Linked DNA regions of Arabidopsis thaliana. The protein of the gene in region 2 interacts with the protein of the main gene of each other region in a pairwise test. Each region holds a gene or a part of one and is shown on either strand. Other genes may lie near its edges. The genes, in order: AT3G59740, AT3G26370, AT4G19645 and AT3G02880.

Region 1 (6,912 bases), about 12 Mb from region 2:
ACTTTCCGCTGATCAAAGAAAGATTTTTGAAACTTCCATCATTATCATCATAGTAACCAGCAGAAGCAGAGGCAACAGATCTCAAGCCATTAATGTTAATCCCAACATGGTTATCATCAATATCTTCAAACTCTTCGTCTTTATGTATATCTAACTCTATAGCTATCACGTGATTCGAAGTTTTACCGTTGTTTGTTTTGTTGAATAATCCGAGGTACTGATCGGAGGAAGCTCCGGGAAGGCCTCTTGTAGGAGAAAAAGCGAAAGTCATACCGTGAGAGCCTTGCTGCTTATGCTCAGGGACAATAGCGAAGAAGAAGTTGATGGAGAAAGACTGGTCCTTCATTTCAAATGTTGTGTTGTCAAAAGCTTGACCGTAGGAATGCTTCGTGGTGTTCGTTAAAACCAAGTAACTATTTTCGTTGAAAACTGCAGATCCATCCAGGATATATGTGCCATGGGAGTTGTAAGTAAATGAAAACAGAGTAAGCCACTGAACAAGAACTATTTGTAAGACTTTGACTTCACTAAACATGTTCTTGTTCGTTTTTTTTTTTTGGCTTATGGGAAGGTTTTGATCGTAATGTGATATTTATCAGAAGAATTATGTAAGAAGATACAACATAAAAATAAGTAAAACTGTATGAATATGATCAAGCCAATATAATGTGAACGAAACTGGTCATGTCATAAACATATGTAGTTTGTATTTAATTACCCACATGGCCTAGATGATCAAACCGCAACACAATAAACAAATAATCTTCTGATCATTTTTCAATTAATAATAGCAATTATTGTGGGATTGTCAGAGTGTAGAAGCGGACCCATGTTAGGTTTGCAAACCTATTTTACTACTGAAATTTTGCTATATTGGTTATGAGATTATGACATCCTATTTGCTTTTTGTATTTTTTTTCTTCTTTTTACAAAACATTATTGTTAATTATTCTCTTGAATCTCTTCTTATCGTTCCATTAATGTGTTGATTAGTCTTAGGACTTAAACTATTGTTATTGTTGCTGTTTACCTATTGCTGTTAATTATTTATCTAATGAATATTCATGTTATATGCGGCCAACGAACTAAGATAAGTAAGCAAACTTAAGAGAGAAAAAACACATGTACACTATTTAGTAATTACGCACTGTGCATGGCCAAGATAAAGTCGTAAATCAATTATAAGAAAACAAATCTTCTAATTCTTGCTAAGATTAAATAGCGATTATAGTGGAAAGCATAATAAGCAATAATCAAAAAAACTTTTCTTCTCAGATCTCTACCAAAGAAATAAAAAGGTCAAAAAAGCTTCTCTTATCTTTTCTACAACCTAATCCGTCGAACATTACGGAGCGTAGAAATGGATAAACAATGTAAGTTTAACAACCAACGTGTTGACCATAAAATGTAAAAAAAATAAGTTTTTTGACATGTTTTAATGTAAAGTTTAACAGATTTTGTATTGGTCTACAGAAAAAAAAAAGTTAATTAAGTTATAAGTCATTGCTCTTGAAAATTTGGTTTTATAAACAAATTCGAACAAGATTACTTTGAAAGCAAGAATGAAACAAACATATTATAACCCTAAAAGTAAACCCTAGAAATTTAGGGATGAATTGGAAGGCATTCATGATTCAAAGATACAGAAACATGTACTCATTTATCAAATAGACGGATACAGAAGCTCCCGATGGAATATAAATGTTTGATCAAAACTAACTTATTTTTATGGTTTCAGCGTCCATGGGACACAAAAGAATTCGTCAACGTCATTGTACCAAAAGAATTCAGATCAAGACCAAGTAGTACTTCCATTGATGTCTCAGGAATTCCTCTCAATCTCTCAGCCCTAACAACATCAAGAAGATTATTGGGAAGATGCGAAACGCCATTCAAGATCTGCAAAACCGCACTCATGTTCGGTCTAATCAATTCAGTGTGATGTGCACACAACAGACCTAGCTTCAAAACAAGCTCAATTTCTCCTCTGTTTTGTTCTTGACGAATACTTTCCTCAGCTGCATCGAAAAGTTTCCCACTTTCCCAAAGCTCTAAAATCCAATCAACAAGAACCGCTTCATTTTCTGCTGCACGTCTCTCAATCAATCTTCTACCACAAACGACTTCAAGCATAACCAACCCAAAGGCGTAAACATCTGTGCTTGTGGTTGCTCTTCCTGTTCTTAAGAGCTCAGGTGCAATATAACCTAATGTTCCCGCTACTCTAGATGTCTGAGGATCAAATCCCTGATCATACAGCTTCGCCAATCCGAAATCCCCGAGCCTCGCATTCATGCCGTGGTCGAGTAGAACATTAGCCGGTTTTATATCTCGATGAACGATGACTTGTACCCATTCTTGATGCAGGTGTAGTAGAGCAGTTGCAACGTCTTTGATGATCTTGAAACGTTGTTCCCAAGTAAGCCGTTCTTGATTTTCATTCGTGTTGCTACGGGTTAGACACCTGTCAAGGCTTCCATTAGGCATAAAGTCATAAACTAAGTAGAGATTCTCTTTATGCTTACAATATCCCAAAAGCCTGACTAGATTTGGATGTCTGAGACGACCAATGGTCGATATCTCGGCTAGAAATTCGCTCATCCCTTGTCTTGAATCATGAGAAGTCCGTTTTACAGCGATCTCTGCATCGGAACCCGGAAGCATTCCTTTGTAGACTTGACCAAAGCCTCCTTTCCCAAGAAGTTGTTTCTCTTTGAAACCCTTTGTGGCATTGAAAAGCTCCTTATAAGAAAACCTATGAGGTCCATTCTGAATCTCCCATTCTTCAAGAACCTCCTTAACCTTCTTATGCCTCACATAAAAGACAAAACCTATTCCGGAAGCGACTAATGCAGTGAACACGGCCAACGTTAAGCAGACCGCTAAAATCCTCCGTGTTCTATCATACGACTTCTTTGGATATGGAGGAAGGGTTGGGATTACGCCAAGGTCCCATGCTGGATATATAACTCCTTCTTCATAGGAAAATTGCATCACATAATAGAGTGCTCCGATCGACCCGGTCGATGCCGTGAAACCCAAGTACGTCTCCTCCAAAAAATAGGGCGAGAGATCTCGGTTCAAAGACAAGAGCGATTTTTGTGGCGGAACAGAGATTTCAGCAGGTAATAAAGTAACATTGAGCTGTTTATCGGTGTGACTATAAACGATGGAAAGCCTCATTACCTTTGTGCTGATCAAAGAAAGCTTTTTGAAGTTTCCATCTTCATCATCATAGTAACCAGCAGAAGCAGAGGCAACAGATGTCAAACCATTAATGTTAATCCCAACATGATTATCATCAATATCTCCAAACTCTTCGTCTTTTCGTATATCTAACTCGATAGCTATAACGTTATTCGAGGCTTTACCGTTGTTTGTCTCGTTAAAGATTCCCAGGTATTGATCGGGGGAAGCTCCGGGAAGGCCTCTTGTAGGAGAGAAAACGAAAGCCATACCGTGTGAACCTTGCTGCTTATGTTCAGGGACGATCCCGAAGATGATGTTGAATGAGAAAGATGAGTTCTTGATGGGAACGGGAGTGTTGTTGAAAGCTTGACCGTAGGAATGCTTCGTGGTGTTTGTTAAAAGGCAATAACCGTTTAAACCTGCAGCTGCAGCTTCTTCCATGAGGAAGTTGCCATTGGAGTTGTGAGTAGATGAAAACAGAGTAAGCAACAGAACGAGAACTATTTGTAAGACTTTATGAGACATGTTCTTGTTTGTTATTTTTTGGCTTATGGGAAGGTTATGATCTTAATGTAATATTTATCATCTCATAAGAATTACGGTCGAAAATAATGGGAACCCAACGTTCTTTTTTTCTTTTTATTTTTGTTATTCTTCGTTAGTAATAAAAAAACATATGTATTTAAGCACATGAGCTAGATCAAGTCGTAAAGCAATTATAGTGGGACTGGTAGAGCGTGTCGTCAAAAGACAGAACTTTTCTACGATCTTAATACTTTGAAGTATTAAATTACTAATAACAACAGTGTGAAAAGCATAATTAAAAAGCAGCAATCCAACAAAGCTATTTTTCCACAACCATTTTGTAGAAAAAACAACGTATGTTTAACATTTTTAATTTAGTGTAGATTCTAACAAATTCTCTACTGGTCTGAAGGCAAAAGTGAAGTTATATGTCACTAATTTGTCATGGTTTGATCATTATATATTGAGATTAATCCTATGTAGTGTAACAACATCAAAGTAGTTTAGAATGTTTTTGGTTATATGTCACTGATTTGGCAATTCACGCCATTTTGTTTTGACGCCATTGCTCTTGAAAGTTCGGTTTCTTAAACAAATCCAACAAGAAAACTTTGAAAGCAGAAAATACAAAACATATTATATGTTGAGTCCTAAAAATTTAAGATATAAGAACTTGGGGATGAAACGGAAGGCTTTACTGATTCAAGATAAAGAAACCCTAATGTAGTGATTCATCAAATAGACGATACAAAAGCTTGAATGTAACTGTTCATTCAAACTAACTTCTTTAACGGTTTCAGCGTCCATGGGACAAGAAAGAATTTGTTAATGTCATTGTACCAACTGAATACAGATTAAGACCAAGTAGTACTTCGATTGATGTTTCAGGCATTCCTCTCAAGTTCTCAGCTCTTACGACATCAAGAAGATTATCTGGAAGCTGCGAAACGCCATTCAAGATCTGCATAACCGCACTCATGTTCGGTCTAATCAGTTCAGTGTGATGTGCACACAACAGACCTAGCTTCAAAAGAAGCTCGATTTCTCCCCTGTTTTGTTCTTGACGGATACTTTCCTCAGCTGCATCGAAAAGTTTCCCACTTTCCCAAAGCTCTAAGATCCAATCCACAAGAACTTCTTCATTTTCCGGTGCACGTCGCTCAATCATTCTTCTACCACAAACAACTTCAAGCATTACCAACCCAAAGGCATAAACATCAGTGCTTGTGGTCGCTCTTCCTGTTCTTAGGAGCTCAGGTGCGATATAACCAAATGTTCCCGCTACTCTAGATGTCTGAGGGTCAAGTCCCTGATCATACAGCTTTGCCAATCCGAAATCCCCGATCCTTGCATTCATTTCGTGGTCGATTAGGACATTAGCTGGTTTGATATCTCTATGAATGATGATTTGTACCCATTCTTGATGCAGGTGTAGTAGAGCAGATGCAACATCTTTGATGATCTTGAAACGTTGTTCCCAAGTGAGCCGTTCTTGATTCTCATTACGGTCTAGATACTTGTCAAGGCTTCCATTGGGCGTAAAGTCATAAACCAAGTAGAGATTCTCCTTATGCCTACAATATCCCAGAAGCCTGACTAGATTTGGATGCCTGAGACGACCAATGGTCGATATCTCGGCTAGAAACTCGCTCATGCCTTGTCTTGAATCATGAGAAGTCCGTTTTACAGCGATCTCTGCATTGGAACCCGGGAGCGTTCCTTTAAAGACTTGACCAAAGCCTCCTTTTCCAAGAAGTTGTTTCTCCTTGAAATCCTTTGTGGCATTGAGAAGCTCCTTATAGGCAAACCTATGAGGTCCATATTGAATCTCCCATTCCTCAAGAACCTCCTTAACCTTCTTATGCCTCGTATAGAAGACAAAACAGATTCCCGAGGCGACAAACACAGCGAACACAGCAAGCGTTAAGCAGACCGCTAAAATCTTCTTTGTTCTGTCAGACGATTTCTTCGGATATGGAGGAAGGGTTGGGACTACGATGAACTCCCATGTTGGATTCTCAACTTTTGGAGTAGCGTACGAACTCAACATATAATGAAATGCTCCAATGGATCCAGTCGATGCCGTGTAGCCATAATACATCTCCTCCAAAAAATACGGGGAGAGATCTCGATTCAAAGACAGCAGTGGTTTCCGTGGCGGAACAGGGATCTCAGCCGGGAATAAAGTAACATTGAGCTGTTGATCAGGATGACTATAAACGATAGAAAGCCGCATTACCTTTCCGCTGATCAAAGAAAGATTTCTGAAGATTCCATCTTTATCATCATAGTAACCAGCAGAAGCAGAAACAACAGATGTCAAACCATTGCAACATGATTATCATCAATATCTCCGAACTCTTGGTCTTTTTGTATATCTAACTCGATAGCTATAACGTGGTTTGATGATTTACCGTTGGTTGTTTCATTGAATAATCCGAGGTACTGATCGGAGGAAGCTCCTGGAAGGCCTGCTGTAGGAGAGATAACGAAAGACATGCCATGTGAACCGGACTGTGTATGCTCAGGTACTATTCCAAAGAGGAAGTGGAAGCTGAAAGACGAATCTTTTATGGGAATGGATTCGTTGTTGAAAGTTTGACCGCAGGAATGCTTCTTGGTGTTCGTTAAAATGGTGTCACCAATGGAGTTGTCAGCTGCAGAGCCCTCCAGGGTCCAGTTTCCATTGGAGTTGTAAGTAGATGAAGACAGAGTATAGAGCAGAACAAGAACTATATGCAAGACTTTGAGTTCACTAGGCATGTTAGGATTTTTTTTGTTTTTGCTTATGGGAAGAAATTGATCATATGAGATATTTTTATCATCTCATTGAGAGTTAAGTAAGAGTATAAAAGAATTCCAAACTGCAAAAGTAGGGTCGAACAAAATGGAAACGAACGTTCACATGGATTTCCGCGTTGTTCATATTAAAAATTTATGTATTTACACACACATGGGGCCTAAACCAAGTCGTAAAGCAATTAAGATAATAATCTTCCAATCTTCATTGGATTCAAAGCAATTATCGTGGGATTGGTAGAGCGTGTCCTAATCCTAATATTAACCGCTGACTCTCTGAGCATTAGAAAATATATGGATCAAAATTTCAAAAAGACGGGATTTTTCTATGATCTTAAAACTGTGTGAAAACTGGAAAACATCAAAAAGTACTTTAAAAGCAATAATCGAACAAAGTAA
Region 2 (7,747 bases):
GTTTATTTCCAGCAGTGTAGGATTTGTGATCAGATTATAAGTAGTGGCATCGAGATTTCTCACATCACCTCCAAACATGAGAGGGGACTTTGCGATGGACCACAATGTCATCTGAGTAAGCAATATAAAAAGCATAAGAAATTTGAACTTGTGGTTGAGAAGGTTACTAATAAACTAGGATCCTTAGATGAGGTCCAAAGCTTGTGGTATACCTGTGACTTCTGTTCTTCAAGATTTAGATTACACGCTCGATGAGGTCCAACATTTGAACCTTTACCAAACATTATAAAAAAGACAAATGTTCATTGGAACCATATACAGAATTGAAATTTCAAGATTTTTAAGTCAAACCTTGATCAGTAAGCCATCCAAGAGGTAACATATCTAGATCAGGCCATGATTTTCCTTGTAACCCTCGTGCACCAATCATACTAGAAGCAGATAAATCTCTGGAAGAATGAAAATTATATGACATCAAAGAAAGGTAAAAACTTGGCAAGAGTATTTTTCAGCTTGAAACCTGACCTCGAGATATCAAAATGTGCCGTGACATCTTTCCATGTGTCCCAATCATCACCCGTTATTCTATACATGTTAACCAATTGGCTAACTTCTTTAGCCATTGTAGGTGTCACACTCGTCCCTGGAGATATGGAGTACAAAACAGGCCGATCAAGCTCCTTTAGAACCTGCGACAAATAAGAACAATGTTTCATCTCTATGTACCTCTGACTTTAACCAGAAGATTGGTAGTTATCACAAATATGTACCTCTGACACATAAGTTATCTCCTCTATATTGAAGTCAGTGCCAAATACGCAGTCATGTTTTACTAAAGACCAAGAAAGTGAGACAAGATTGAGATAATCATATATCGAATAAAGTTAAAGAAGGTTACGGAAATGAAGTCGATTCTCTTACTGAAATCAACGCCCCATTCTGCATATTGACGATAAAGAGACCTCAAGAATGCTTTTCCTGCACCTAACTTGGTATTCACACTCATGAACCCATGCGACATCCAAACACAAGCCCTCTCCTTGATCCCAATATCTTTCGCTCGCCACTGTCTACCTGATTCTTCATAAGCACCTCCCTTCAACCATTAAAAGATTCACTTGTTGATAACTTCCAAACAAACTTCATAAACTCAGAAAGAATCAATCAACTCAATACCTTAACACTATCCATAACGAGACTATTTGCGTTATAAGCTTGTGTGCTGATTCCTCCCATAACATGAATCCCAAACTTCAAACCCATTCTATGAACTTTCTCAGCAACTTCAGTGAAACCTTTACCGCCTCTAGAAGATGGCCATCTACCTGGATCAGGATGCAATCTTCCCCATTCATCAATCACATCAAACCCAAGAGAATCCACATAAGCTCCTTCAACTTTCTTTCTATACCAAAGGTAATCCACCACAACATACTGTATCCAAATCAACACACACAAACACAAGCAATTAAAAACCTAAACTTTTACATTCTAAAGGATAAAGAAACTCACAATTACCTGATAACCATGAGGAAGAAGACGCTTAGAAACAATTTCAGCACTCTGCAAGAACTCAGCTTCAGAGATAGTCCAACAAAAGGAATCGTACGAATTCCATCCTCTTGGAGGAAAGCTAGCATGTTGTTGCCTCGACCTTGCTTCAATCGATAAACTGAAAAAGACGAAACTTTTGTGATTGATCGATCACTCAAACACCACCCACTCAAAAACCAAAATCAAATTCAAAAACCCAGTGAAGCGGAGTACCTAAAAATGGATAGATTAAAGATGATGAAGAAGACAGTGGACCGGGTCGACCCGGTTTTCTCTACGGATAGTCCGGTCATAGAGATGAGAACTGATTACGATAGCTTCTGATTTTGTTTTCCTCTTTTGTTGTTGAGAACCTGAGAGTAAGAGAGAAGACAACACGCAATGGTTGTGTTAATGGCGGGTACTATTAGAGAGCGTGACAAAAAATTAAGAATTGGATTAGTAACCGTTGAGCTAATTTTCTTTTAATTAAAGTTTAGTGCATCAATTTGATCAAATTTAATATAAAAAAGAAACTTTTTTTTCATCACTAGGAACTTTACATAATATCAAAATGATTACAAAGATGGTAAATGAAGACTTCAAAGATTTGAAAGGTCAAAAAAGAAGAAGAAGAAGAAGAAAACTACGAATCTCTATAGTTTGTTGCTCCTCATCAGACAAAATCCAAGACCAAACAAAAGCATCATCATCAAGCTTTACACATGCATGGAGTGAGAGGATTTTCCCAAAGATCATAGTTAGGGAAAGTTTCTTCAGGTAAACCGGTTCGTGTTTGATGGGTTACAACTACATCTTCCACAAAAGTTGCCCATCCCATGTAAGGATCCCCAAATGATTTCGACATCAACCCTTTATCCGGTTTGATTGATTTCTGGCGATGCCCCATATATCTACGCGCTCCGATGATCAGTTTTGCAAAGTTTCCACCGTGTGTCATCACAAATACATCTGATTTCAAGCACACCAAGAAATCTAGAGCCGCAAGACTTGTAACGTGTTTTCTAAACGTTGTTAGTTCCTCTTTGCCTGCTAAATCCTCCTTTGTTACCTGATTCAAAGGACAGTTAATGTGAGAGACAAGTTTGTGCTGATTCATCAAAGAATTATAAGAGTCCGGTGTTGTGCTTACCAAATTTGGGAACATGTTTCTTAGTGGAGCCATACGGTTTTGACCGCCATAGACTTGACCAGATGCAACATAGATTTGTGTTTCTTTTGGATAGCCCATTGCACGTAGGATCACAGCAACTTCTCCTGGCTCAAGAGGGCATCGACCTTCTTTGCGCTTCTGCAAGGCGAGCTGCCAGAGATGGGAACCATTCTGCAATATATGTCAAGAAATTTCATTAAGGTAGCGGTTGAGGTTGTTTAGCCACCAAAAGAAGTTGACAACTGCTTATAAATGTCACCTTGAAACGCCGAGGCCATTCCTTTTGTCTGTATTCTGCCATTTTAACTTTCTCTTCCCTTGTCCCCACAAAATCACAGAACGATAGACCAACCATTCCTTTCTCGAATCTAAGATGAAGAGCCCTATACAAGAGACATGGGTATAGTTTTAAGTTGATATAATGCATATGGTCCTAAGTTATAACAAAGTCGAATCTCTGATATGGCATACATATATGGATTTGGATTTCCAGTGCGATTTCTCATTCTAGAAACAAGTGAATCAGCCATCTGCTCTATCTCTGGAAGAAATTTGAGAGCATGATAATTTACACGGCATCGTAATCTGTTGATTTCTTGAGGTACATTGTCATACCTGAAAAAATTTCCAGCATCACAAGAATAAATCATTCATTGTTTATAAGACGATTTCCAAAATCTGAGCACTAAACTATAGGAATATTGGTTATACCCAAGTCGATCGACAAAAGGCTTCAAGGCCATTATCTTCTTCTCCTTTATCCGAGGTAAAACATTGTCAATATAAAATTGGGCTGCTGCATATTTGGGAATGTTTTTGACTGTTCTTCTGCAGAAGATAAATAAATAACTTGGTCAACATCATATCTGATTAAAAAATACAGATCGATTTTTAAATCAGAGATATACACAAGGAGCACCCAGTGACGCCATAATTCCACAAGCTAACTTTTGAAATCGTCCAACAAGTACATCATCAACAAATAATGAGTTGACAAGCAAACCTTATACTAGAGAATAGCTCTGCTTTGTCAGTGAACCAGTCAGGTATGTCTCGAACAATTCGGACATCATCCTTCAAGTAATCAATGAAATGATCTACATCAAAAATGTCTTCAAATTTTCTGCAAAAGAAAGTTAACAAGCTCAGTAAACCAAAAAGAAAATAGAGAAGTAATTCAAGATGAAATGAAATCAATATCTGAATATGATTTTACGTTGTGTCTTTCCATATTTGGTCCTGCTTCAGTACTGGTAGAATCAGTGTTGCATTCATAATCTTGGCAACAGCTACTGCGTTGCAGATCTGGAAACAAAAGGGCATGAATTCAAGATTGGACGATGGCAAGAAGAACAACAGCCATTTAGACATTGATCCATGATTGGATAATGGCGAGAAGAAAAAGAGATAAAAGTTGGAAGATACATACAGCAATTCGCTGCTGATTCAAACCACCTTCAGCATGAATGAATACATAGCCATTTGTTTCATTCTCAGGAGGAAGATCTGAAAAAAACAGTTGACACAATCTAATAAGCTAACCAAGGAAAAAGACTTGAACTTTCACGAAAAGACAGATCAATAACACATGACAATGTGTTTCGACGAAAAAAAAAAAATAAAAAAAAAAAATAACACATGACAATGAAAATGACAATGCTCTAGCCCTTCAATACCTGAGATTCCACCAATCCGCCGCTCAGCACAAGGCTTCCAAGAAGTTGTTGCAGATAAAGGATTCTCCCAAGGAGAAGGTGACTCTTTTACCTTACAAATGCAAACCAACACACAATTAAATTTACAGGATTCAAAGCTTATGCATTCAACAAAACACATAACCAAAGTTTTCAAACACTTACATGAGGACAGTTTAGCACAATCCCATCTTTTTTACATAAATAAGGAGCATTCTGCAGAAGATAGACATAGAAGCAATCTTAGTCTGAGAACAATGTCAATCCAAATCCACCTAAATAAACAAACCCCTTTACTCAAAACAAAGCTAAATACTTTTCCAAATCGATTCCACAGTTAGAACATAGAGCCTTGAAGATCTCAATTCCTAGATCGAAGGAAGAGACTTACCAAGTGATTAATAATCCCATAAACTGAGATCAAGCTAGCAATAGCGAGAATCAAAATCAATAGAAGCGAGATTTTATTCTTCTGAGGAGAAACCCTAGGATCATCACCGAAGAAAGGAAACAAAGAGTGAAACCAGATCGGACGGTCTCGATCTCTAGAAGGATGACGTGGGCGACCATCTTCGTCGTCTCCGCCGTTAGGAGAGTGATCGTGTACATGAGGCGATGAAGAATCCTCATCTCCGGCGGCACGTAACGGAGAAGAAGAAGATCGGCTACCGAGAGAGCTCGAGTGCCGTAACTCTGCCATTGCTCGCCTCGGACTAAAAGTCGCCAGCTTAATTTCTATATCCTCTCTTCCTTTTCTTCCTCTTCACTTTCTCTGTAGATAGATACAGTGCTTCTTCAGCTCTACTATGTGGACGCTGCCATTTGAGAGAGAGCTTGGAGATTCGAACACTCCACAGAGAGAGAGAGAAATTAAAGAAGCTTTTTTTTTTTGAAAGGCTTGAATGTTCTTCTTTAAAGTCAATACTCTCTGAATCAAACAGAAGATTAGATTTAAGGATATTTACAAAAACATCCCTATATCTCATAAAACTTACATAACCACCCCTATATTAGTAAATTCTCTGGTTTTTATCTCATTTCCTCCATCGCCTCTTTTTTAACCTAGACATTCTCCATCATCACTCAAATTGGCTCTTTGATTCTCTCCGGCGAGATTCCGACCGGTAAGTCGAATTCAGATCCTATCACTGTCTCTCGTCAATCTCATTTACGTTTTCAGAAACATACTTTTTCAGAAAACAAGTAAAAGAGATGAACACGATAGCGAAGCGAGTTACGGGGTTGGTGACTCGTCCGAGTCTAAACCAGCAGTTGCAGCAAGAGCGAGGGATAAGAGTGAAGGTGTTCTCCAATGATTTAGACAAGGCACTGACGATTTTGCAGAAGAAGATGCAATCGAGTGGAATGGAGAGGCTGATCAAAGGGACTCAGACTCATCACATTAAGAATTCGGAGAAGAAGGTTCTCGCTAGGAAGAATCTTGAACGCAGAATCAAATCCATTGACTTTGCTCGAAAACTCCAATCAATCCTCATCAAGAAAGTCAGGTAATGTTTTCTGATTTTTCTCAAAAGCTTCACATTTTTTAGGGTTTTAATGGTGTTGTTTAGTTTAGTAAGATCTTGCGTATTTCTTATTGTTATTCTTTGCAGAGGTTTATGAGAGCTGAGGTGAAGCAAGAGTGCTGCTATGTTGATCAGTACTAGTATCTGTGTGTGATATAACACAGTTTTACATTTTGAACTTTTGATGAGTTGAATCAATGTGGAATTGGAATTTTGGATTTGATTAGTTGTTTACTCTATGGCTTCTCTTTCGTAAGTTTTCAATGATCTTGAGAAAGAACATCAGATCTTAGGAGTACATGTATTGAAAGTTGTTTCAGGGCAAGTGCGTTGCTTCTCCTGCACTCTGTATGACTGTGTTCTGTGGGTCTCTGTGCTTGAATTGTGTTTCTTGTTCCGGCCATGATTACTCTGAGATTGTTCTGCTTTCTTCGCGTGTAAAGCGTAGGTTAGCTCTTTCCAGGCGTTTACACTTTCATTTTATGTATATTCATGTTACTATATACCATGCCATGCCAAAGAATGGGGATAAGAGATATAGGAAGAACAATTGCACCGAAGATCGTGGAAAATACCTTTTGTATGGGTTTAGTTTTCAGTTTGCTTCCAGCTTTTTTACTAGTATCTGTTTGGTCAGGCTCGATTGGTAGTTGTCTTTGTCAACGTTTGCAGTAACCGGCATTGCAGAGTTGGTTTCATGTTTGATGCTGCAGAAATTGAGCAGAGAACAGAGTATCTACCTGCAGAAGCAACGTGTTTCGCATCAGATTTGCGCTAACTAATCTGCGGCCTTCTTGATCTATGGGAGACATATCTTAACATGTTCATAGTTTACTGACATATTCGACAAGTTTTCGTAAGTTGCTCTGAGAATCAACATCTTTCCCCTGGAGTGAGCTGAAGTAGAAAGATTGACATATTCATGACTGTTACTGTAAGTCCTTAACCCTGTCTCTCCTAAAATCGAGATCTTTTTATTTGGGTTTTAGATAAATTGGACCGAGTAATTACAATTTTCTTAAAAAAACTTTTGAATGAGAAAAAGATACAGAGAATGTTTTTATACTTTTTCATGAGATTAGAAACTGATTTTAATTTTAGTGCAAGGAATCTACAACAAAGATTACTTGCTTCGTGCTATCACTTTCCTTCTTTATTTTGTTTTCTACAACAAAGAATCCTTACTTGAACTTGTCACCAAGTTATTCTCTCCCTCTCTCTATCTCATTTAGAAACTTAAAACAGTTCAAAATCTCTCTGTTCTCATTCTTTCATCTCAAGTCTTACTTAACTTAGTTTCCTTTGATGCTTTTTAGCTTCTTCATCTAAATGTCTCATCATCATCACCATGAAACTAACCCTCATTTTGCGCGAATTCCATCGCAGAATCCACATCTCAAAAGCGGTGGTGCTTCTACCTCACAAACATCTTCGAACCAACCACACATCCCGCCCATTCCGCACCCAAAAAAATCGCACCACAAAACCACGCAACCTCACCCAGTAGCTCCACCAGGAATCCTAATCAAGACTCGTGGTCGCCACCGTGAAAATCCAATCCAAGAACCGAAACATTCTGTAATACCTGTACCATTAAGCCCAGAGGAGAGACTTCCACCACGAAAAACTCAAAACTCATCGAAAAGACCATTGCTATTAAGCCCTGAAGATAATCAACAACAACGACCTCCACCACCACAAGCACCACAACGCAACGGAGGGGGTTATGGATCAACATTACCTCCAATACCCAAACCAAGTCCATGGAGAACCGCTCCAACACCATCCCCGCATCACCGCCGTGGCCCACGGTTACCACC
Region 3 (7,664 bases), on a different chromosome or scaffold from region 2:
GCATCAAATCTGTAACTCAGCACATACTTCATTTGCTCTTTCACAAGCATCGGCTAACACTAATGGATCTCTCTGTTCCGGAATTCTCCAAACTCTTCCTTTTGATTCATTAGGTGGCATTGATATCAAAAACCCTTCACTGTCTCAGTTGTACTAAATTCAAGAAATAGTGCCAATAACCTTAACTTCAGGTAGATGATTGGTTTATACTTTCCCAAATGGCTGGACCTTCAGGGTGGACATTGACAAAATACTTCACAAACCGGGCATCACCGCAAGTGAGAATAGTGCTTGGTGACAGCATTGGCTTTGCTGCATCTCTTTCCCTCAACCATAAATACATTGAGAATCTGTGATGTATCCTCTGCATATCATAACACAGATATGCCGGGAACCTTACCAATGATTCAATTGGATAGCCAAGAAGTTCGGTTAAGGAATGTATCTTTTTCTCTATGACATCTTTAGACAGGTTAAGTATCATCGGAGCATGCCTGATGATCTCAGTAACCACATTATAGTTTAAACCGGCTTTCACAAGGCAATCAAATCTCTCCTGTAGCTGATCTCCCCTCCCTCGAAACTGTTTTAGAGCCTTCACCATCTCATCCGAGTTTTCTACATACCCTAGCCTCAACAAAAACTCTGTCTTCTCTAAGTATTTCCTCGAGTCTTCCGAAAGAGGTTTGCTTTTTCTCTTCTTCGTTGTAGAAACAAAACAAAACAATCTCAAAGGCTCTTTCTTTAAGATCTTACATAGCTCGTCTTGTTTAACATTCAAACTAAGACAAGCAGTTCTAGGTGCTGGCAGAGAGCATGAACCAATAAGCTCCATATGACTCAGCAAAATCTTCGTGATAAACTGCGTTTCCATTCTAATAGCAATCAAGAAATCCAACGTCTTCTGAATATTTTTCACGCATTTGTCTGACAACATCTCTGGATTGTCTATAAATAGCCTATAAATCTCATTCACTTGAAGCCCCGCTTTAAACAACCTACCAAACAGAACATAGAATTTCTTTCCGGAGCCTTCGATTACCAAAGCTGGATACGTTTTCAAAAGACTACTCAACTTCTCCTCTTTACATCCCACTTTATCAAGAAACTCTATTGTCTCCAGAATTCTGCGCCAGCTATATGTTTTCCGGTCAGACAAGTACCGCCCAAGCCAATCACATCCTACTTGTAACCCTTTCAACTTATCAACTACAGAAGAAAACTCAGCATCAATCCCACCAACCAGTAGCAAAGGGCAACTAGTAACTAACTTAATAACTGTAGCCTTACTAAGACCCAAATTCTCATAACCCCTTAGCTTCATCGCCAACATCCCAGATTCATATCTAAAAATCTCTCTCGCTTCTTTATACATACGGCCAATCTTACCACGCGGGATCCCATAGTTGCAAAGAGCATGAAAGTTCTCAAACATGATACCATCATCACTCAAAAACATTAGCTTCCGTGGAAGAAACGTTTCAAACTCATAAGGACACAAACCCAAACTCTCGAAAAACGGTTCAAACTCGTTTATCGGATTGTACCTAAGGAACTTAGTCAATCCCTTGGATACATCTTTCTGATTATCATCAATCTTAGACAACAAAGTCGACATAAAACAAGGAGAATTCTTACTTATATGCTCTGCATCAGTAAAAGTAAAGCTTCTAGTATAATGCAAGTAATCAAAAAGAGCTTCTTGAGCTTGATTCCTACTAGCCCTTGATACCGGATTAACGAAAAACCTAGTTGGTAAGTGAGACGAGTGTTGTTGTAACTTAGATTTATCCTGACGAACACAGCTTTCAATCTGAAAACTCCGAAATGGAACTGAAACACGAGAAAGGTCGAACCTTTGAACTGGGTTTTGACGAGGAATAGATGAGAAAGTTATACAGTAGTTGAGATTTGAAATCATATTCAACAGTTTATGAACTCTTCTCTGATTTCTGGATAATAACATCGCAACCTAACAACAAAGAGAAACAGGTGAAAGTCACAATCAAATAGAGAGCTATGAAGAATTCTCAATGCTTACTCTTTCAAGTAAGAAATTTACCTGAAATTAGGGCTTATTAAGCATTTGAATCAACCATTTTCCCAAGATTCTTAGGGTTCATAGCCAAATCTCAGTTACTTTGCTTAAACCTTGTTCTGGCTTCAAATTAAGGTGGAAATTTCAGAGAAGCCCCTAAACGTTTATAATATATCCGAAACGACCATAATCTTATTTTTCTATACTTCAATATGTGCCTAAGAGTTTCCGAAATATCATAAAGGTACCAATTAGTGCATCATCAACACTTGGCCTTAAAAGACTTGACGTGAGATATTATTATTCCTCTTTTGATACCGAATTAATAGACTTGTCAAGTTTAGACTTGTCAAAAGTGATAAACATATCACACGAAATCGTGTTATTATCACGAGCGTTACAAATTCTTCAAGTATATCACTATAAAACGACTTCAAAACCCAACCAAGTGGTGATTTCTTTGAGCTGACTATATGTATGCAAGATAAAGGCAGCAAGAAACGGTGAGTTTTCTTCACGAGCATAAATGGTTTGTTCGTCTTTCTGATTTTTGATTTTATAGATATGTAACTTTTTTATTAGGTCAATTTCAAGTGGTCCATGGTAGATTCAATTCATGTTAGGTCATCATCTTCAAGCTAAAACGCCTACCAAACATATAATAACAAGTATTCTTTTAATCACTAGTTTTAGTTTCAAAATATTTCTGACTATCTTAAGTGCATTTAGATTTTAGTTCAACATGATGGAAAAAGATAACTTGACTCTTGTTTAACTTGCATATGTTTTGTTTGACTATTTGTTATGTTTGAGAGGAATGATTTTTCTTTGTAAAACAGCTTTATATAAAACTTGTGGCTTACTCGGATGAATTTTATATTTGTTTTGATTATTTTTCAAATGTTGTTTTTTTCAAAACCTTTTGACAGTAAATTACAATATAAATTATTTTCAAAGATCTTAATATGTCTTATTTAAGTGAATTTTTAATTATAATTATAAGTAAATTATTAAATATAGATTATAACAATGAAGTTAAATCTTATTCACTATATCTTTAAATATTTTTTTCTCTTATTTTTTTAATATTTTATTCACTATTTGTAACAAAATTATAAAAGCCAAAATTACCAAATTTCTGCAAGAAAAAACAAAAAACAAATCCTTGGCTCCTCCTAAAATCCACCTACCTTACCCTTTTATATATAAGATACAACCAAAAACAAGATGATTTGGTGCTTTCAATATAAAAGATATAATATTTCATAATTAACATATTCTCCCTTAGGTTTTCCTGCACACTCGATTTAAATCGTCTAACAAGGTCAGAATCCATAATTTATACAACCATTTTCTGCTTCCTTTGTTTCCTCCCTAATTACATGTTATTAACTATTAAGCATATCCTTAAAACAAAACCCAAACTGAATTATCTTTGTCAATAGTTGTCTTCTCTCTCGATTATTCTTAAGATAACTACTTTGGTAGTTTTGTTTTTTTAATTACTACTGCACCCTCTTGCGCTTCAAGTTACTTGGTAAAAAACTCTCTTAACTTTGGATAATTTCTCGAAGTCTCTGAAGAAAGAACCCTTTTTTTCTTCTCTCATAATCGTCTCTGTAACGTCCTTCTCCTTCTTCATCTTCTTTGCGTTTCTTCTGCAGCCTTTTGCGGTTCACGTGTTGATTGCTTCTGTCTCTACTTTTTGTCCGTTTTAAAGTTTAAACTTATTGTTACAAAATTGGATTTTCTCTGATCAAACGATAAAAACAGAGTCTTTTAGTATCTTCTTCTTGGGTATAACGAAGATTTTTGTGGTTTCTTCTGATGTAATTCACAAAACCATTTGTATAATCCTTGAAAAGACTTTTTGTTCAGAAATGAAGTTTCTTACTTTGCTCTTTCTTTTCTATATTTCAGTAATGATGATGATAAAGCTTGAGAGAAGTGATTAGTCTGTAGAAGAAGAAGAGTTAAAACCATTCACCAAAGAAGAAATTGAGAACTAGAGACAGTCATGGAGATCAAATCTTACCAAAATCAAGCAGAGTATTTTGTTGAACACTATTTATTAGCAGATCCATTTCTTCCATATACTTCTGTTCTTGTTGGAATCTGTCTTTGCAAATTGGTAAGTTTTGCTTCTCTTCACTTACAATTGCAGAAACTTCACTTTTTTCTGCATTCTGTTTTTAAACAGTGTAGCTTATGTTCTTAGGTATATGATCTTACGGAGTTATTCAGCTCAATTCATGTCAAATCATACTCAGCTCTCACAAAAATAAAGAGAATTGAATGGAACAACAGGTATGTATAGGTTCCTTGTTTCAGCCTTTATATGTTATGCTCTAGTCTCTTATCACTTTGGCTTGACAGGGGAATTTCTACAGTCCATGCGATCTTTATCTCATTCATGGCATTATACTTTGCGTTCTTCTCTGATTTGTTTTCTGACCAAAGAAGCCTTGAAACCCTTACGGTGTTTCGTAACTCGCCTCTGTCTACCTTTGGTTTAGGAGTAAGTTTTGATCTTTCTTCATTTTATCTCACAAGTCCTACTCATGAGCATTGATCAACTTATATGGTACTTTGTTGTGATGTGTTTTTTGCATAGGTATCAGTTGGTTACTTTCTTGCGGATCTTGGAATGATCTTTTGGTTATACCCTTCTTTAGGAGGATCAGAATATGTAAGTTAGACACATGAAAGCTTATGTGGTCTTCAATTACTTGACAATCTTGTGTTTTTTGTTTCAGATATTACATCACTGCTTATCTGGAACAGCAGTAGCGTATTCTTTGTTCTCTGGAGAGGCTCAGCTTTACACATACATGGTTTTAATCTCTGAAGTGACTACACCAGAGATCAATCTTAGATGGTACCTTGACATTGCTGGTTTGAAACGATCTAAAGCTTATCTTGTTAATGGAGTTGCTATATTCTTTGCTTGGTTGGTGAGTTTCTTAAAACCTTTGTTTTTCGTTGTAAATGTCTGAAAACTTGATCTCCTTTTTTATAGCAATGATGTTTTGTTTGCAGACAGCAAGAATTCTTCTGTTCATCTACATGTTTTACCATGTCTACACACATTATGATCAGGTAATCAAGATTTCGGTTTGATTATCTCTAAACCAAACGGTCTAGCCTTTAGGAAAAATAGGAATTACTCTGTTTTTTTTTTTTTTTTGCTGTTGTATTGGTTAGGTTTAGAGATAATGAATTGATGATCAATGGATTTTTCGGCAGGTGATAGAGATGCATACATTCGGTTATCTACTGGTATTTGTTGTACCGATTTCATTGAGTGTCATGAACTTGATCTGGTTTGGTAAGATAGTGAAGGGATTGAAGAAAACTCTTGAGAAAAGACAGTGAAGAAAGAGTTGTGTTTTTTTTTTTATGTAAATATAAAACTCTTATGAAGAATCTTACAAGTTTATAAGCAACAAAGATATGGTTTGTTTCTAACTTTTAGCTTATACACTAATTATGTTCAAAATCTCATTCCCATTATTCCCACAACAGTCCCTATGCATGCTGAATACTTAAATCCATGTACGAAATCAATAGAGGACTTAACCCAAAAAGACTTGGGCCTAAATCTACATTGGGCCAACGATTATATTCGTAGTTTTTTCGTGTCATATTAACTTGCCGTGTAATATTTGTTTACTTGTATTTTTTGTTAGTTCTAGAAAGAAAGCAACATTAATTGAGGAGGAGGAGATTGGTTGTTGTTGACGACGCGTTTCCGCTCACTAATTTTTTTTAACCTTTTTGTGTCTCCGTCGTCTTTTGATCTTCAATCTCAGTTTTGAGCTGAAGATTATCGTATCGACCTGCGATTCTCTTCAGATCGATAATCCATGGCTGCAGCTGGAAACAAGAGCATTAACGCCAAATTGGTCAGTCTTATTAGCTCGATTCTTTTGAGTTCCCTTGTGGTTGGTTTGTCTCTCTCCGATGATCGTAAAATTGATTGAATTTGCAGACCCGTTTTGTTAGATTTTCAGTTTTCTGGATTTGATTCTGTTTCTAATTTGGAGAATTTTGATACGTGATGTTGAATTGGAGAGCTTTGATCAGATTTTGTTGTTAGGGTTTATGTTCGATTTTGATTTAGGTTTTTCCATAATAGGGTTTTAGGGATTTATCTGAACACGGTGCTTGCAAACAGTGTTGATTTGGTTTCTGTTTTTTTTTTTTGCTTATTTTGATTTGTTTCTGTGTACTTGGTTAAGTCTTTCAGGTGTTGCTTGGAGATGTTGGTGCTGGAAAATCAAGTCTTGTGTTACGGTTTGTCAAAGATCAGTTTGTTGAATTCCAGGTTAATGGCTCTTCTATTGATGTTTATGTTGTTGTTCACATTCTGTGTGTGCTTCTTGACTTTGATATATGTTTATGTTATAGGAATCAACCATTGGTGCTGCTTTTTTCTCACAAACGTTAGCTGTGAACGATGCCACTGTGAAGTTTGAGATTTGGGATACAGCGGGTCAGGAACGGTACCATAGTTTGGCTCCAATGTACTACAGAGGTGCTGCTGCTGCAATCATTGTTTTTGATGTTACGAATCAGGTACATAATAAATTAAGTAGATGCAAATGCAATTTAGTGGCATTCTATTAAATTAAGTTTGTTTGATTTTCTTGCTATCTTCTTAGGCTTCGTTTGAGAGGGCAAAGAAATGGGTTCAGGAACTGCAGGCACAAGGTATTGTATAGCTGAGTTCTGGATTTGATAGTTCTTTGTTAGTTTATGACTTCCAGTTGCAGGCACCGTCAAGCTTTAGTTTCTGTCTGTGGGTTTTACTGAATAAATGTATTTGTGTGAATAGGTAACCCTAATATGGTCATGGCCCTTGCTGGAAACAAATCTGATTTATTAGATGCAAGGAAGGTGACAGCAGAGGTAAGCAAGTCCTTCTCTGTCCTGACTGATTTTTCTCATTATGAGGTTAGGATTTTACTGTCAAATATAAAGTTGAGCTATGTGTGTGTAATAGCTGATCATCATGTTGAACGTGTTAAGCTGTATTTTGAAATTTCACATGTCACGTTTGACAGGAGTCAGAACATTAGGTGATATCTCTTTGTTGTAAAATTACAATCTACCTTATTGACATTAACCTGACAAACCAAGCCACCTAAACCGACCCCACACACTTAACAAATCATAAATTAGGCTTGTTGTATAGACAGTTAATGTTTCATTAAGAAGTATAGTGCAGTTTTCTCTAACCAGCTTTGGAGAATGATATATATGTTTTCATATGACCTTTCTTATCCCGCAATCCCGCAAGTCCATATTTTACTGTCTTATGCCAAAAGCCTAGATTTTAGATAAGTAGCATTTCTCAAGACTGATCCTTTTGAAGTATCTGTTAGAATCATTTACGTTGTGCATTAAAGTTCAGTTGTGACTTGCAAAGGACAGAAAAACACAGTTCTGTTGTGTGTCAGAGATATGCATCTCTAATGAAGTAGACATTATATACATAGACAATGTGCGCACCCTTTAACTTTGCTTCTGAATCTCACTGATTCACGTATTTCCTGATGATATCTCACACTCTTGATCCTTTGCAGGATGCACAAACATATGCTCAGGAAAACGGTCTTTTCTT
Region 4 (7,417 bases), 9.0 Mb from region 2:
ATATCCCTTTTTCTCTCAAATAATAATTGGGGCATTTGCAAATCTTACACTTGACTTCCTTGAAAAGAAAGCCTCTGTTGCGTAATTACAATTTGCATTTTGGTTGTATGTTTGTGATTGTTTCATAGGTCTATTCCACAACTTTTTACCTTTTTTATTTTTTTACTCTCCACAACTTTGTACCTATAACTAAATAATATAAAGTCACAATTTTGTACGGATATTCTGATGTTTCATTAGTCATTTACATTTTTATTGATTATGTTCGCATGTACAGCTACTTTCGTAAACAGCTTCTTTTGTACGAATTGTTCTAGAGAATTTTCGATCATAATCAAAATATAAACAAAATGTTTAACAATGCGCTTCAAATAGGTGGGCCTTTGTTATAAGTAATTTAAAAGTCGAAGAACCCAATGGCCTATATGTCAATCAAATACATGGGCCTATGTTATAAGGAATTAAAAATTTAAGAACCTTAAAGGCCTACATGTGATTCTCACAACTCTAATTCATGCCATGTTTTATTTTAAAAGTGTTAATTTTCATTAACATAAATGGTAAAATCGTGTATTAAACGTACTAATTCATTTCAAGTAAATATTCCTTTTATACCGTAAATATACTACATTGTATCATTTTCATATTTTATCTTTGGTATTTCATTATTTTCTTCACATTACAACCATAAATTATGAATTTCACATTAGAGGCGTATACGTATTTAAAAACGATTAAAAGAGTTTCCAAAAACGTGTGTAAATTACGTACTATATAAATATTAAAAATGGATCGGTGATCCAACTCCTTCTCCTTCATCATCATCGTATTCACCGTTGTCCTTTCTTTCATTGACACTTGCCAGTTTACATCGACAAACAAAAGAAATCAGAATGGATTTCTCAGGGAGCTTCTTTGTCATCTTCGTTACCTTCTTCTTTCTCCCTCCTCTGTCTTCAGCTGGGAGCTACGATTCTGGTTCGGGTCTCGAGTCACTCGCTCGCGGGATGCTTCATTCAGCCAAGGATCCTGAGTTCTTCGAGTGGATGAGAGGAATTAGGAGAAAGATTCATGAGAACCCAGAGACAGGGTTTCAGGAGTTCAAAACGAGTCAACTCGTTCGAGACGAGCTTGACTCGCTTGGAGTGAAGTATAAGTATCCTGTGGCGAAGACTGGCGTCGTCGCTTGGATCGGATCCTGTTCGAAACCTGTTTTCGGACTTAGAGCCGACATGGACGCACTTCCGTTACAGGTTTGAAATCTAATAATCAAAGTTCCGATTTTTACTCTGATTTTTAGATTGCTTTGTTTGACTAATGAATTTGAAAAAATGGGGACAAAAAAAGGAATTAGTGGAATGGGAATCGAAAAGTAAAGTAGATGGAAAGATGCATGCTTGTGGTCATGATACTCATGTTGCTATGCTTCTTGGTGCTGCTAAGCTTCTTCAAACCACAAAACACCTCATCAAGGTCTCTCTTTTTTCTCTTTCACTCAATTTATATGTATAATTTTGAATGATTCTGTCTGTGCCCTGCAATTAAAACTCATTTCGATGTGGGTTAGTGTTTTCTAAGATTCTTAGATATATGTGTGTGTATGTCTTTGATTGCTAATTGTTATGTGTGTGTGTTTTCTAGAGTTGTTAGTGTGTGTGTCTTATGAGAGTTTGGTGAATCTTATGAGGGTTTTGAACGAAAACACAATTTTTTTGCAACAGGGGACAGTAAAACTTGTGTTTCAACCAGGCGAGGAAGGTTATGCAGGTGCTTATGAAATGCTAAAAGACGAGATTCTAGACGACTTAGATGGGATACTCAGTGTTCATGTCTTTCCATCGATCCCATCAGGTGGTATTGGTTCTAGGCCTGGGACCGTTCTTGCAGGTGCAGGATTGTTTACAGTCACGGTTCACGGTCAAGGTAGCCACGCAGCTACACCGCACTTCTCTAAAGACCCGGTTCTTGCAGCTTCTTCCGCTGTTGTTGCCTTGCAACAGATTGTTTCGCGGGAACTGGATCCACTCGAAGCTGGTGTAAGTTTGCTTTCCACTTTCAAAGCATTGGTGTTTGATGAATCAGAATCTTGGCTGAAATCAGCGGAGATTGGTTTTTTTATGTTTCTCAGGTGGTTACAGTTGGATATATTGAAGGAGGTCATGCTCAAAACGTAATACCGCAGAGTGCGAAATTTGGAGGTACTTTCAGAAGCTTAAGCAACGATGGGCTTCTATTTATCCAAAGACGGATCAAAGAGGTAAAGAGATTGTTTTTTACACCATTTTTCTATACAATCTTGTTCTACTATTCGAATAATGTAGGTCCCTAACCCTGTTTAAATGTTTCTTGATGATGATGCAGATTTCAGAGGCACAAGCATCGGTATACCGATGCAAAGCAGAAGTAAACTTCGAAGAGAAAAAGCCGTCGCTTCACCCGGTAATGAATAACGACGAGGGCTTATACGAGCACGGTAAAAAAGTAGCGGAAGCGATGATTGGAAAGAATAACTTCCATGATTTCCCGGTGACAATGGGAGGAGAGGATTTCAGCTTCTTCACTCAAAAGACTAAGGCTGCGATTTTCGTGCTGGGGGTAAAGAATGAGACGCTAGGCGCTGGTAAGCCGCTTCACTCGCCTTACTTCTTTGTTGATGAAGAAGCTCTTCCTGTTGGGGCTGCTCTTCACGCAGCTATGGCCGTTTCTTATTTGGACGAACATGGTCATAGCCATGAAGAAGAGGTTAAGAGTGAATTATAGAAGGTGTTGGGAGAAAATCAGCTTATATTAGTCATCATCTATTTGTATTTGAACTTGAAAGTTAGGTGAGGTTAGGTTTCGGGTTGGGAAGAATGTTTGTTAATAGTCACGAGAAACCAACCACTTCTATTAAAATAAATTTGATGTAAGAGTTTTAAAAATTGAACAATTGAAATCTTCAAAATGAATACCACTTCTTAAGTTCTCTGTTGACCATTTCTATTACCTTCCTTTCAAATTGATACAACAAATACATAAAAAAAAAAAAAAAATGTCTATGGTACAAACTTATATCAGAAATAAAAACGGTGTCGGAGAGGCTAATCTTTGTTTGTCAACGGTAGCTCAGACACATTTGACAGACCTGGCATGTCTTTGGTCACACTCAACCTGCAAAAAAAAAAAACATAAAAGAAACAAAACGATAACGACCATTAATTTTTTAATTAGACCTAATTTATTGATCTAATACAAAAGAAAGGAAAAACAGAGGTCGTTTAAACGTCTACAAAAAACATTACTGCAGTGATTTATTGTCATTTATGTAACGCAAATATAGTTGACTCTGATAAAATTGTTACAACTAGTATTCATAAGTCATAACCTTATAATTAATTAATTATCTTTCTGTAAATTAGCTGTCAAATTAAATACATAAGATTCTCTTTTAACTTTTTTGTCAAAAAGGAAATATTCCAATTAGTAACTTTTCTTTTTTTCCTTTTTCTCTGCAATTATGACCATTTTCTCTCTCTTAGCCGGCTCTAGAGAGAGAAGAAAGACAGAGCTGAAACTCTTGTAAACCAAAAAACACAAAAGTCTCTTTGTTCAAACACTCGTTTACGCGTAGCCGAAATAAATTTTCCAAAAACCCATATCCGAAAAAGTCGATATATTTATTGAATTTTTGGAACCAAGGAGACGAAGAATTTACACGGTTTTTGAAGAAGAAGAAGAAGATGAAGTATAAGCGTAAGCTAAGTCTCTCTGTTGTCTTCCTCTTTGTCTTCTATCTCGCTGCGGTGACTTCAGATCTAGAGTCTGACCGGAGAGCTTTACTCGCTGTTCGTAACAGTGTCCGTGGCCGTCCTTTGCTATGGAACATGAGTGCTTCTTCTCCTTGTAATTGGCACGGAGTCCACTGCGATGCGGGTCGGGTCACGGCTCTCCGATTACCCGGATCTGGTTTATTCGGTTCTTTACCAATCGGTGGTATTGGTAATCTAACCCAGCTTAAGACTCTTTCTCTCCGGTTCAATTCTCTCTCTGGTCCTATCCCTTCGGATTTCTCCAACCTTGTTCTCCTCCGTTACTTGTATCTTCAAGGTAATGCCTTTTCCGGTGAGATTCCGTCGCTTCTCTTCACGCTTCCGAGCATAATCAGAATCAATCTAGGGGAGAATAAATTCTCGGGTCGGATCCCGGATAATGTCAATTCTGCGACCCGGTTGGTTACTCTGTATTTGGAGAGGAATCAACTCTCTGGTCCGATCCCTGAGATCACGCTTCCTCTTCAGCAATTCAATGTTTCTTCTAATCAGTTAAACGGGTCTATTCCGAGTTCGTTGTCGTCTTGGCCTCGAACTGCTTTTGAAGGTAACACTCTCTGTGGGAAGCCTTTAGACACTTGTGAGGCAGAGAGCCCCAATGGTGGTGACGCTGGAGGACCCAATACGCCGCCGGAGAAGAAAGATAGCGACAAGTTATCCGCCGGAGCTATTGTCGGGATTGTGATCGGATGTGTTGTTGGTCTGTTACTGCTTCTTTTGATTCTGTTCTGTCTCTGTAGAAAGAGAAAGAAAGAAGAGAACGTTCCATCTAGGAATGTTGAAGCTCCTGTCGCTGCTGCGACTTCCTCCGCTGCTATACCAAAGGAAACGGTGGTTGTTGTCCCGCCGGCTAAGGCTACGGGGTCGGAGAGTGGTGCGGTGAATAAAGATTTGACCTTTTTCGTGAAATCTTTCGGGGAATTCGATTTGGATGGATTGTTGAAGGCTTCAGCTGAGGTTCTTGGGAAAGGAACAGTTGGGTCGTCGTATAAGGCAAGCTTTGAGCATGGGTTAGTGGTGGCTGTGAAACGGTTAAGAGATGTTGTGGTGCCTGAGAAAGAGTTCAGAGAGAGATTGCATGTTTTGGGATCAATGAGTCATGCCAATCTCGTGACTCTGATCGCTTACTATTTCAGCCGTGACGAGAAGCTTCTTGTCTTTGAGTACATGTCTAAAGGAAGCTTGTCTGCGATATTGCACGGTATAGAATAGTAATCTCCATTTGTGCATTTGTTTATTTTTAGGGTTCTTAGTTTAGCTGATGCTAGTTTGTGATCTTGATGGACCTGGTTTGGCTAAAATTGACACTGATTACTGAATTGTTTCATAGTTAGTTTATCTTATGTGTCTTCAAGCTCGGTTTTGAAGCTCTTTTAATGGATTTGTAGGGAACAAAGGAAACGGGAGAACTCCGTTGAACTGGGAAACCAGAGCCGGTATAGCCTTAGGAGCTGCAAGAGCGATTAGCTACCTACATTCGCGTGATGGGACAACTTCTCATGGAAACATTAAGTCCTCGAACATACTATTATCTGACTCCTATGAAGCTAAGGTCTCTGATTACGGTCTTGCTCCCATCATTAGTTCTACATCTGCACCTAACCGTATTGATGGCTACCGTGCCCCTGAAATCACTGATGCTCGCAAAATATCCCAAAAAGCTGATGTCTATAGCTTTGGCGTCCTAATCCTTGAATTACTCACAGGTAACAAACAATCAAGGATAGATATATCTTTTTAACTGCTTTTTTTGCAATTGCTGTGGTTTCTAGGTTTTAACATGGAACATTACATTGCAGGTAAGTCTCCAACGCATCAGCAGTTGAATGAAGAAGGCGTAGATTTGCCGAGATGGGTCCAATCTGTTACCGAGCAACAAACACCGTCCGATGTGCTTGATCCCGAGCTCACAAGGTACCAACCTGAGGGCAATGAGAACATCATTCGTTTATTGAAGATCGGTATGAGCTGTACGGCTCAGTTCCCAGATAGTCGTCCTTCGATGGCTGAAGTCACCAGACTCATTGAGGAGGTTTCTCATTCATCTGGCTCCCCAAATCCTGTATCCGACTGATTTTTTGGGGGTCTAAATTGATTGATTTGAATATTGTTTGGGGTCAAGTTGCAATTTCTTGAATAGTGTCGACCCCACTTCCCGCCTTTTTTCTACTTCTTCTTCTTTGTTCTTGTTCTAGTTTGTTCGTTAATTCTTGAGCCTCAAATTGAGATGAGACCTATCAGTTTCTTTTTTTCTTTCTTTCTACTTTTCTTTATTTCCAAAGTTTTAAAAATGTCTATAAAACTATTGCTTTTGCTAATTTTTGTATAAATATATAGTTGATTGCGTGTGAATAAATTGGTTTTTGTTTTCTTCTTTACACATCTTATCCCAGAATCCTAGTCAACGATTCAGCCAAAAAACAATGTCAACGAGTTTTATTTTTTATCGCCGTCCAAAATTTTGAGCCAAAAACAAAGTCAACGACAAAAGTGGTCATGAATATCGTCTCACGATTGACTGACAAATACTTCACGATTTGATTAGATATGAAGTTTTATAATGTGAAGTTGGTAACCACTAACTAATAACCCTACTTCACAGGAGAAAGAAAAAACATTTTAGATATGAAAAAACAACATTGACCCAGAAAGATATATATTTGCTTAGAGATTTTGTATGAAAGAATTACTAGTGCTGATAAACTATTTAGTTCAAGCTTAAAGGGAAATCGATTAGATAATTTTTCGAATTATTTGAAGAAAACATATTGTGATCTGGACTTATAATTTTTCATGTGATATACCATTTACACCGAGTCATGGGCAGTTGCCACAACTTTATCTCATGTTCCAACTCGTACCAGACTGGGTACATATGCACATGGGGTTCAATAAATTTATTAGTGGGATACTCTTTGACATAAAACACTATTAGGAAAAAATGGAATTAAAACCTATTCATAAATTCATATAATTACGCACGTAAATAATGTTTTTCACAGTAATATTAGAATTTGACCTTAGCAAGTTGATGGTTTTTAAACCGTGGAAGCAAATAGAACATGACTTCCACATACAAACATCATCAACACTAGAGATAAATCATAGATATAGAAAATCATATTTATGACTGAAATATTAACAATTACAACTTAATGGGCTTTATGGCTACATTTTTGTAGGCTCAAATCAATTGATAATGAAGCCCATTTCATAAATATGTAACCATAATAAGTTCGGCCATGACACATTGGGCGGGCTTACACGTATAACAAACACAACAGTTAAGAGCAAAAGACACAAAAAAAGTGTAGAGACAAATCGCCAACTTGTAGAAACAGATTAAAACAGAGTAGTAAGTGTTTGATAATCCAAAACTAGATGAATATTATCAAATATATCTAAAAAGAAGTTTTAAGGACATTTTGGACGGCCTTCTTTAGTCTTCCAGTTGTTGTAACATGGACAAGTTTGTTTGTTGCCGAAAGTGCCAGGAGGAACACAAAGACATTTTTTGCAACACTTGAGGCAAAAGAACATGCATGGCTTCTTGTGTGATGTTGCTGAACAACGGAAGCTACACTTTGAGTTGCACTCTACAATTGAAG

The links.
Region 1: the proteins of AT3G26370 (region 2) and AT3G59740 interact in a protein complementation assay, tested with the Arabidopsis thaliana proteins (one large-scale study listed by BioGRID).
Region 3: the proteins of AT3G26370 (region 2) and AT4G19645 interact in a protein complementation assay, tested with the Arabidopsis thaliana proteins (one large-scale study listed by BioGRID).
Region 4: the proteins of AT3G26370 (region 2) and AT3G02880 interact in a protein complementation assay, tested with the Arabidopsis thaliana proteins (one large-scale study listed by BioGRID).

What each region holds. Positions count from the first base shown.
Region 1 is NC_003074.8:22,065,345-22,072,256, forward strand, and holds AT3G59740 (Concanavalin A-like lectin protein kinase family protein), read right to left. Parts: upstream 3,715-6,912; coding exon 1,735-3,714; 3' UTR 1,643-1,734; downstream 1-1,642. Other genes in the region: AT3G59730 (Concanavalin A-like lectin protein kinase family protein), read right to left, coding at 1-535; AT3G59750 (Concanavalin A-like lectin protein kinase family protein), read right to left, coding at 4,511-5,953, 6,040-6,477; OASC (O-acetylserine (thiol) lyase), read right to left, coding at 6,775-6,789.
Region 2 is NC_003074.8:9,654,240-9,661,986, reverse strand, and holds AT3G26370 (O-fucosyltransferase family protein), read right to left. Parts: upstream 5,308-7,747; 5' UTR 5,102-5,307; coding exon 4,793-5,101; intron 4,618-4,792; coding exon 4,567-4,617; intron 4,475-4,566; coding exon 4,384-4,474; intron 4,214-4,383; coding exon 4,137-4,213; intron 4,013-4,136; coding exon 3,924-4,012; intron 3,831-3,923; coding exon 3,711-3,830; intron 3,536-3,710; coding exon 3,419-3,535; intron 3,323-3,418; coding exon 3,179-3,322; intron 3,091-3,178; coding exon 2,967-3,090; coding exon of another isoform or gene 2,904-2,966; exon of another isoform or gene 2,879-2,903; coding exon 2,687-2,878; intron 2,606-2,686; coding exon 2,246-2,605; 3' UTR 2,042-2,245; downstream 1-2,041. Other genes in the region: AT3G26380 (Melibiase family protein), read right to left, coding at 1-111, 213-271, 352-449, 526-689, 771-832, 922-1,096, 1,177-1,434, 1,519-1,672 and 1 more; AT3G26360 (Ribosomal protein S21 family protein), read left to right, coding at 5,614-5,909, 6,015-6,024; AT3G26350 (proline-rich receptor-like kinase), read left to right, coding at 7,257-7,747. UniProt on the Arabidopsis thaliana protein: Glycosyltransferase involved in the biosynthesis of pectic type-II arabinogalactans.
Region 3 is NC_003075.7:10,687,690-10,695,353, reverse strand, and holds AT4G19645 (TRAM, LAG1 and CLN8 (TLC) lipid-sensing domain containing protein), read left to right. Parts: upstream 1-2,522; 5' UTR 2,523-2,541; intron 2,542-3,332; exon of another isoform or gene 3,333-3,362; intron 3,363-3,391; exon of another isoform or gene 3,392-3,593; coding exon of another isoform or gene 3,594-3,680; exon of another isoform or gene 3,681-3,867; intron 3,868-3,958; 5' UTR 3,959-4,055; coding exon 4,056-4,169; intron 4,170-4,256; coding exon 4,257-4,345; intron 4,346-4,414; coding exon 4,415-4,556; intron 4,557-4,652; coding exon 4,653-4,727; intron 4,728-4,794; coding exon 4,795-4,992; intron 4,993-5,077; coding exon 5,078-5,137; intron 5,138-5,284; coding exon 5,285-5,413; 3' UTR 5,414-5,596; downstream 5,597-7,664. Other genes in the region: AT4G19650 (Mitochondrial transcription termination factor family protein), read right to left, coding at 188-1,966; ARA7 (Ras-related small GTP-binding family protein), read left to right, coding at 5,905-5,943, 6,288-6,365, 6,449-6,616, 6,703-6,751, 6,876-6,949, 7,627-7,664.
Region 4 is NC_003074.8:631,100-638,516, forward strand, and holds AT3G02880 (Leucine-rich repeat protein kinase family protein), read left to right. Parts: upstream 1-3,365; 5' UTR 3,366-3,719; coding exon 3,720-5,010; intron 5,011-5,197; coding exon 5,198-5,515; intron 5,516-5,608; coding exon 5,609-5,883; 3' UTR 5,884-6,185; downstream 6,186-7,417. Other genes in the region: ILR1 (Peptidase M20/M25/M40 family protein), read left to right, coding at 894-1,253, 1,348-1,473, 1,722-2,036, 2,129-2,257, 2,362-2,760; GASA5 (GAST1 protein homolog 5), read right to left, coding at 7,224-7,405.